Linked DNA regions of Tribolium castaneum. The protein of the gene in region 1 purifies or fractionates together with the protein of each later gene. This does not show direct contact. Links are inferred from orthologs where the notes say so. Each region holds a gene or a part of one and is shown in the gene's direction. Other genes may lie near its edges.

Region 1 (4,287 bases):
GTTTTTGAGGTATCGTTTATAAAAAAAATTTCGGAAAACAGTGCCACTAGAAATTGCGCCAAGAAAATGCAAACATTTTACAAATAAAACAAAAGTATATATTTATGAAATTTTAATTTTTTTTTTCGTTTTCAATCAATAAAATGGTAATTAAAGGTCGGTGTTAGCAACGATTAATAAATCGTCATTTATTAGTTAAACAAAAAATTGTTTTAACAAACGTCTGTTTGTTATTATTCTACATATTCGTATTTGTCAAATCTTTAAATTAAGCGTTTATGTATTTGTTGTGCCGTAATATCACGAAAAGTCTACATGACGGTTTAAATGAGCATACTGGATGACGTAGTTCGCGCGCTTTGCGGCTATTGGCTAAGCGTTACTTTGGTTGCTATGGGAGATTTAAAGGCGGGGTTTTCAAAAATTAAATTCTTTATTATTATAAATATTATAAATCAAAAATCATCAAAAAGCGAGTCAAGATCGACCCCATCGAGTGCCTTTGCCCAAATTTCTTCGTCTTTTGGCTTAGTTTCGGTTGGTTTTTTGGGCCCCTCATTGGACACCTCTTGTAGTTTTTTGACCCCCGAACTCGAATAAATCGCCACCAAATTATTTGGAGTTATGGTCAAGTAGTGATTACCTGAACTAGTTGTAATGACACTAAACTGTCTCAAAACAATCACAGAATCGGCAACTAAAAATTCCGAATACTCCTCAAATAAATTATGAATTATTGAGCCCTGAATCTCCCCCGTGGGGTCTTTCAAGACAACTTTAACAATGGTGTTTTTCCCCTCGAAACATTCGACGCTTTTAATGATAGCCCCCAGAAATGGGGCCTTGCGATTTGGCAATTCCTCGCGAGTTGCCGCCCCCTTAATCCAATTAATATCAAACTGGTCGATTAACGTTTCGTGGTCGCGGCACATTTGGAGCCAGGGGGCTGCCTGGAACACGGAGAAAGACATTTGGGAGCACGGAATGACCTAAAATTGAATTATAGCCCCCTGGGATGGCCCCACGACACTTGCCTCATTTTTCGTGTTTTCCAAGTCAAGGAGCCCCGCAGGTCCTGGGAATTTACGCTTAACGGGGGCATTTACTGTTTTGGGGCGTTTGGGGGGCGAATGACTCTGGTGTTTGTTAATTTTATCGAAATTTAAACCCAAGTCCTGATAAACAATGACATAACCTCACTTTAGACAAAACTAACTTACATCACCAAAATCAAAGTCGGTATCACTTTCGAACATTTCTGCTTGTGATTTTGGGGCATTGACTGGGGTTTTGCCCAGTTTTAGTGCCAAAATAAGGGAAATTAATTTAAAATTCGAGTTGGGTTCCGACTTTACCGACAGGACTTTGACAATGTCGCCAATCTAACGCGTAAAAAATCGCCAGCTTTGAGCAAAAAATTGCTGTTTTTGTTGTGATCAATAAGGTGTAGTGTGAGGAGTTTTTGCAAAAAGTTTTGATGCCTCGATCCCGGTACCCCTTCGACGTTGAAAATATGGAAGAAGAGGGTGATTTCGGTGGGGAAGTCAGTGTTGTCGATGTCTATGATATTGCTTCCGATATTGGCAAAGAATGCGAAAAAATCATTGATCAATACGGTGCTGATGCTGTGACTTCGTTAATGCCCAAAGTTATTAACGCCTTAGAATTGCTCGAAAATCTGGCCACACGCAACGAACGCGAAAACACACAATTGCATGAGCTTCGACTGAAAATAGCACAATTGGAAAATGACAAGTTGGAAAAGGCGGAATATCGGCAAAAATTTGAAAAAGTAAGCTTGTAAAACTTATTATTACTCATTTTCTCCTTCTAGTAACTAAAATTTGTACCAGTTTAAACGGTTGGTAGCGTTTGTGAGGTGACTAGATTTAAAACTGTTTCAAGGAACTGGAAGCCATTGAAGAACAATGGCGTTCTGAAACCAAAGAATTGCTTTCTGTGGTCACACGTCTCCAGGAGGAAAACCGGCGATTGGCCAAAGACAACTCCACGTCTCCCCATCGACAGGTGCCCCCCTTGTCGCCGCCGCCTAACGGCGACATGTTACAGAAGCTGAAAGACAGTGTGGAGAAACAACGCGATGAAATCCGCCTCAAAGACAATCTCCTACAAGAGAAATGCCACGATATTGAAAATTTGAAATCGCAAGTTGAACGTCTGAACAACACGAGTCGAGAGCTTCGCCGCAAACATAAGTTATTCCAAAGCCAAGTGCGCACGTTATGCGACGAAAGGGCCGATTTTCTCGTCCAACTTCAAGACCAACAACGAGATATCGTCGGGTTGAGGCAAAGATTGGGTTTGGCGCAGAAGGAAAACGAAGATCTTGCAAAAGTCGGTTCGGTTCAGTCTTTGTAATGGGAGGGTGTCTGGTAATGATTAGCCAATAGAAGCATAGCGCGCGAATTACGTCATCCAGTATGCTTATTTAAACGGTTATACTGCCGTGCTAAGCAAGAACGTCGTAACTGACTTTTTTGTCAAATTTGAGATAACACAAAGTCTGAGATCAATAGTGCAATAACTTTGATTCTAAATAACTTTAATAGATATTATCCAGAAATTAATAAGACGAAATACGTAAATAAAATTGACGTATGTGGGGTTTGTGCAATATTACTTAGCAAGAAAGTCGTAACTATAAAATGTATATGAAACCCACTCATTAATGAATCAAAAATTGTATATTTTCTAAAATTAATCAAAAACATTAGGTACCACCAAGTTTGGTTGTTTACAAAGTCGAATTACAATTAAAAAAACAAAAAAAAGTGTATGACTTTGACGATTTTGTCAATTCGGTTGGAAGGACGGGTACAAGAACTAAAATTAAACAAATGAAAATTGAAAACTTTTTTAAATGGGAAGACTACAGTTCACAGTACAAATTGGCCAAAATTATTAATCGACCTTACCTAAGCGACATGGTTAACGTTACGTTTGAACGAGGAAAAAAAACATGAAATATAGATGCAGTTTTGATAGCGACTTTATAGAGTTAAATTTCCTAACATCAATAACATCATATTCAAAAAACCCACTCAAAAACACACAACAAATGGCATAGATACAGAAAGAAAACAGTAACTCTTAAAAAAATTTAAAAATATTCTACCAGAAAACCGATTGATTTTTTGACAAAATTTGCTTTTATTTCAAAAGTATCGTACGCTAGGTGTAATTTCTTGGGTACATTTTTTTATAAATTTGCTGTTGTTACGTATTATTTCATTTGTTTAAAGCCGTTAATAAATATTTTTGTAGTTACGACTTTTTTACTTAGTTACTTTTACTTAATTAAAAAAATAAATAAAAAAATTAAACGTCGTATGTGGAATAACAGCGATTTGGCAAAATAATGGATACAATTGCATACATATTTCCTTTTTACAAATAAATTGTTAGGTTGACTTCAATATTCCATGTTACTAGCATTTAAAATAACAGTGCACTCTGAAAATGTAGAAAACAAGACATAACTCAAGGTTCATATAAAATCAGTTGCGACATTCTTGCTTAGCACGGCAGTATATGCCTCTGCTTTTTGTGATTTTGAGGCGCAATAAGTATATTACAAATTAATGATTAAGTACAGAACGGTAATTCGAACGGTAACTAATTAATTTGAATTTAGAATATATTTTTTTCTCACAGTTTGCACTAATTTATCAATGACAAAGAAAAAAAACGCCTACTCTTTTAAGTATAAATTGAAATGGTCTTATGGTGCGAGTTTATCTTCAGTAGATAATCTTCAGTAGAATTTTTTTTTATTCCTTCCAGTAAACGATAGATGCTGTTCCTCCATATCTGGTGGCAAACTGACAGTTACATAAAAGACTCACAAAATGATTTCACAAAAAAAAGGTAAGTTTAAGGCTCAAAAGTAATAAAAAAGCGAAAATAACACCGTTTGCTACCCAGTTCGGTATATTTCTGACGAAATAAAACAAAAAAATTGCAAGTCTGCCTGGAAATTGTGATAAAATGCGAAAAAAAGTGACTTGTGACTTAAGTCAACGATTTCTCGGCACGTGTTAGCAAAATTTCAAGAAAAAACACTGTTTTTTTAGAACACAAACGTGATAAAAACGACATAAATACAGTGAAACCTGCTCTAATAACGACACCTTTTCACAACGGACATTTTTGATAACTTATACCATGCGATTTTTTAAAATTTTGTTCTTGTTTTTCATGACAGTTACCTTAGCAATGAAATGTATTGCGTAAATAACTTCAACGTGGCTTTATCTGTCAATATGT
Region 2 (3,824 bases), on another chromosome or scaffold:
AATGGAATAATTTTCAACACACAGGCGCACAAGCATTCGCAGCAATACAAAAATAAACAATTTCGAGAACTAATCAACCAACACCACCCCTCTACACAATCAATTATTTCTTAAGTTGCAAAACTTTGTAACTAACGTTGACTTTATTGAACGATTTGGCTTATTAGGGCAGACGTAATAACACTTTATTGTCTCACACACACAAAAAAAATTCGAAATTTAAACAAGTTCAGAAAAACTGTTAATTTGCAACTTGTACGTAATATGGCTCCCAAATATTTTGGAAAAGTGAAAAACCTAACGCAACGGTTACCACATGAATGATTTCCAAAAAGATTTTTGAATCTTCGATTCCCTTTAATGAATAATTAGTTCTGTAAAGTTAGTCACAAGAGCACAGAAAACATTAACGAAAGTTTGGTATACCGTTAGATTAGAACAAAAGCATTGGGCAAAGCAAAGTAACCCTCAGAACTGAAAGATAACGAACCAGTGTGATTATTAAAGGGTGCAGCTTCACCTTGTTGCGGTGCCGAATCATATGGGTTTCCATAGGGTGGTTGTGGTGGTGGGGGATTGAAACCAGGTTGTCCTGGGTATCCTCCTGGAGCACCGGGATAACCTGGCGGCGGGGCACCCGGGTATCCTGACGGAGGCGCCCCGGGATAACCGCCTGGGTACGGTTGCTGTGGTGGAGGGCCACCATAATATCCTTGATTTCCTATTTAATAGCACAAGATATAAAGTGTAGTTAACGTAAATAAAACAAAACGCCATAATCACCCACAATTAAGATAAGTCTATAGTTGTTTTTAATAGGCTGGCTACATTACCTTGTGGATATGGTCCACTGTTCCAAGACATGCTGTAATAGAAAAAAACAGTTTACAAGAATGAAACTTGGCGAACGTGAAGAAAACGTTAACAATCGGCTAAGTTCTGAATTTCATTTCATTTCCGAAAAGCTACCACTCGTAAATACATGACTCATCAATGTATAAAAATCAATATTAAAAATGTTAGACGCATTAAGTAAAATTCCCTCAACGACTAGAGCCAGACCAAGATTAACCTTTTTAATTGCGAAATAAAGTTGATTTTCAATATTTACAAGACATACGCCCGTGTAAACCACAACAAGCAGTGATGAAAGTAGGTGTAAATAATATGGGTCAAATCACAAAACACATACCTGCTGTTGTCGGCAATTAATCACTTCCGCCACAGGAAAACTGCTAAATGAATTGATTAAGTAATTATTTGGAACAATACCGCATTACTCACTCTTATCGCTATTCTGGAAAATGGAAAAGGCAACAAAATTATCTGGAATTTTCTGACATTTGACATCAGGAGAAAATTTACTGCGCTGCCATTGGCTACTTTAATCGACATGCGCACACGTTTTTTGGGCGTTTGTGGCAAAAAATAAATTTGGGGCACAAATTTATGGCTTTTATTCGTAAACAAACGTAGACTAATCAATCAAAGTTCGAGGAAATCACGTAAAACTTATCGCTCCGCAAAAAAACGTACAATTTGGTATATTTGTGCATCGATGTTGGCCGCCCTGGCCTGGTGTTTTTATTGTTTTGGTAGGTTGAACTGTTGAACGTCAAAAAATTAATTATAATTTTGCTAGTAGAAAGAAATGGCCAAAAAAACATATGATTTGCTATTTAAATTGCTTTTAATCGGCGATTCTGGCGTGGGGAAAACGTGCATACTCTTCCGGTTTTCCGATGATGCGTTCACGACGACTTTTATATCAACTATAGGTAAGTTAACCTTTGCTCTGACCCTATTTGTTGTTCTTTAATTCATGGTCCATTTCATACAAAAAAGAACGCTTGAATTGGTCCAGAGATCGCTTCTTTGTGTTGCAATAGCTTCCGTTTTTCCTTGGTGTATTTTTATCTGCACGGGGTGAGGTCTTTGCAGGCGCCAAATTTAAATATCCCGTTTTTTAGGTATAGATTTTAAAATAAAGACAGTCGAGCTAAGGGGGAAAAAGATTAAGCTGCAAATATGGGACACAGCTGGACAGGAAAGGTTCCACACAATTACAACTTCATACTATCGAGGTGCCATGGGAATAATGCTAGTTTACGATATTACGAATGAAAAAAGTTTTGAAAATATAGTGAAATGGTTAAGGAACATAGACGAGGTCAGGGGCCAATTGTTGAGTTTTAGTGTTCTTACGATTGAAAATTGCAGCATGCCAATGAAGACGTCGAAAAAATGATCCTTGGTAACAAATGTGATATGTCTGATAAGAGGACAGTGAGCAAAGAACGGGGAGAGACTGTAAATACAACGTTACCCAAATTTATTGTTTGTTTATGGGGTTTTTCAGATCGCACGTGAGCATGGCATCAGATTTATGGAAACCTCAGCAAAAGCTAACATAAACATAGATAAAGCTTTTAATGACCTTGCAGAGGCCATTTTAGATAAAACGGCTGGCAGAGAGCCAGGTGATCACGTGGATAGGGTACTGGTAGATAGAAAACAGCAGTCAAACACCTCCAGGTCTTGCTGTAATAACTAGTTTTAAACATTTGAACTTCTCAATTATGCATAAAAACTGATTTCAAATAAAATTCACTGAACAAGATTTTTTACCGATCATTTTCATTACAGAAGTCAGTTCATTGTGCTGTTGTATGTGTCATAAACCAAAAATCTGAGTGTAGCTGTAGTTGAGACAATTCTACAAAGCAATATACTGCTGAAAGCTTCTGATTTTTGGTTTCATATTTTCAAAATCATCCAACTGGAATTACAGAGGCACAACTTTCATTATTTCATAAATGTGCTTTACTTATTACATGGTAAATGTCGAAATACAAATTATTTTTTAATATATTTAATATAAGCCAATTGCTTTAACATTATCCAGTGTGATGTAGAATATAAAATGTACTTTAAAACTGTTAAATCATTTCACGTTTTTACTTTGCTCACATAGTCATGAACAATTTTATTAAGTCTCAAGTTCATGTTGTTATTTTTGCTTTCAACACTATATTTGACAATGGACATTAAATTTGAACAGAACGACCTAGAGGAAAACTACGTTAGTGTTAGACTAAGTTGACAATTTAAGTTTCTATTAGAAGAATTATTTAAGTTACAGTTCTCTCAAATATTAGCCATTAATTCTCTGGTCCTCCTGTACATTAGTATATGTGTGTCTGTGCTTATACCTTGATTTATCTATGTGTTTATTTGTTAGAAAGTTCAGTTATTGTAGAATTCGCAACGATTTATTTACGTGTATAAAAATAAGCTTTTGCAGAAATAAACATAATAACTTGACCACGTTTATCCATACTCCAAAGGCGGCACTTCTGGGTGCTCTGAACACTTTTTGTTATAATTCTCCACAATTTTGCTAAAATCCATTTCATTGTATTCTGGCACTTCCAAAACTTCCCTAACAAACGTTCGGTTATTTCACATGGGGGTACAATTCACACTTACTTTTTTCTTTCTTTCGGGGGCGATGTTTTCTTCACTGTTTTTCGTTTTAATGGTTTGTAGTTAGCTTTAGGTAATTCCAGCACCAAATGCCCGGTGGTTTGTGACCTTTTTGCCGTACTCTTATCAGTAAGGATTTCCTCCGGAAAAACGATTTGAAACACTTTTCCCTTAATTAAAATTCTTGCGTAGATTGGTTGCAAGTCAATTTCAATTAAGTTCGTATCCAAATACCTACAAAGCATTGCAAATGTGGAAAAAATCACTCACTAACGTACTTGTAAACGGCGAGATCAAGGACAAACTTTTCCGGGTTTTCATCGTTAAATTTAAACTCT

Evidence for each region.
Region 2: the proteins of Rilpl (region 1) and Rab10 purify together in Homo sapiens (co-immunoprecipitation; 3 studies listed by BioGRID and IntAct, with this or other methods). This does not show direct contact. The link is inferred for Tribolium castaneum from reciprocal best matches to the Homo sapiens genes RILPL1 and RAB10.

What each region holds. Positions count from the first base shown.
Region 1 is NC_087401.1:11,058,394-11,062,680, forward strand, and holds the start of Rilpl (RILP-like protein homolog), read left to right. Parts: upstream 1-1,477; coding exon 1,478-1,792; intron 1,793-1,905; coding exon 1,906-2,355; intron 2,356-4,287. Other genes in the region: homologous recombination OB-fold protein, read right to left, coding at 456-989, 1,035-1,175, 1,221-1,256. UniProt on the Homo sapiens protein: Plays a role in the regulation of cell shape and polarity. Plays a role in cellular protein transport, including protein transport away from primary cilia.
Region 2 is NC_087394.1:30,236,426-30,240,249, forward strand, and holds Rab10 (ras-related protein Rab-10), read left to right. Parts: upstream 1-1,455; 5' UTR 1,456-1,595; intron 1,596-1,642; exon of another isoform or gene 1,643-1,645; 5' UTR 1,646-1,651; coding exon 1,652-1,778; intron 1,779-1,970; coding exon 1,971-2,170; intron 2,171-2,220; coding exon 2,221-2,310; intron 2,311-2,359; coding exon 2,360-2,554; 3' UTR 2,555-3,324; downstream 3,325-3,824. Other genes in the region: protein lifeguard 1, read right to left, coding at 491-721, 834-864; dynein axonemal assembly factor 11, read right to left, coding at 3,331-3,442, 3,490-3,720, 3,765-3,824. UniProt on the Homo sapiens protein: The small GTPases Rab are key regulators of intracellular membrane trafficking, from the formation of transport vesicles to their fusion with membranes.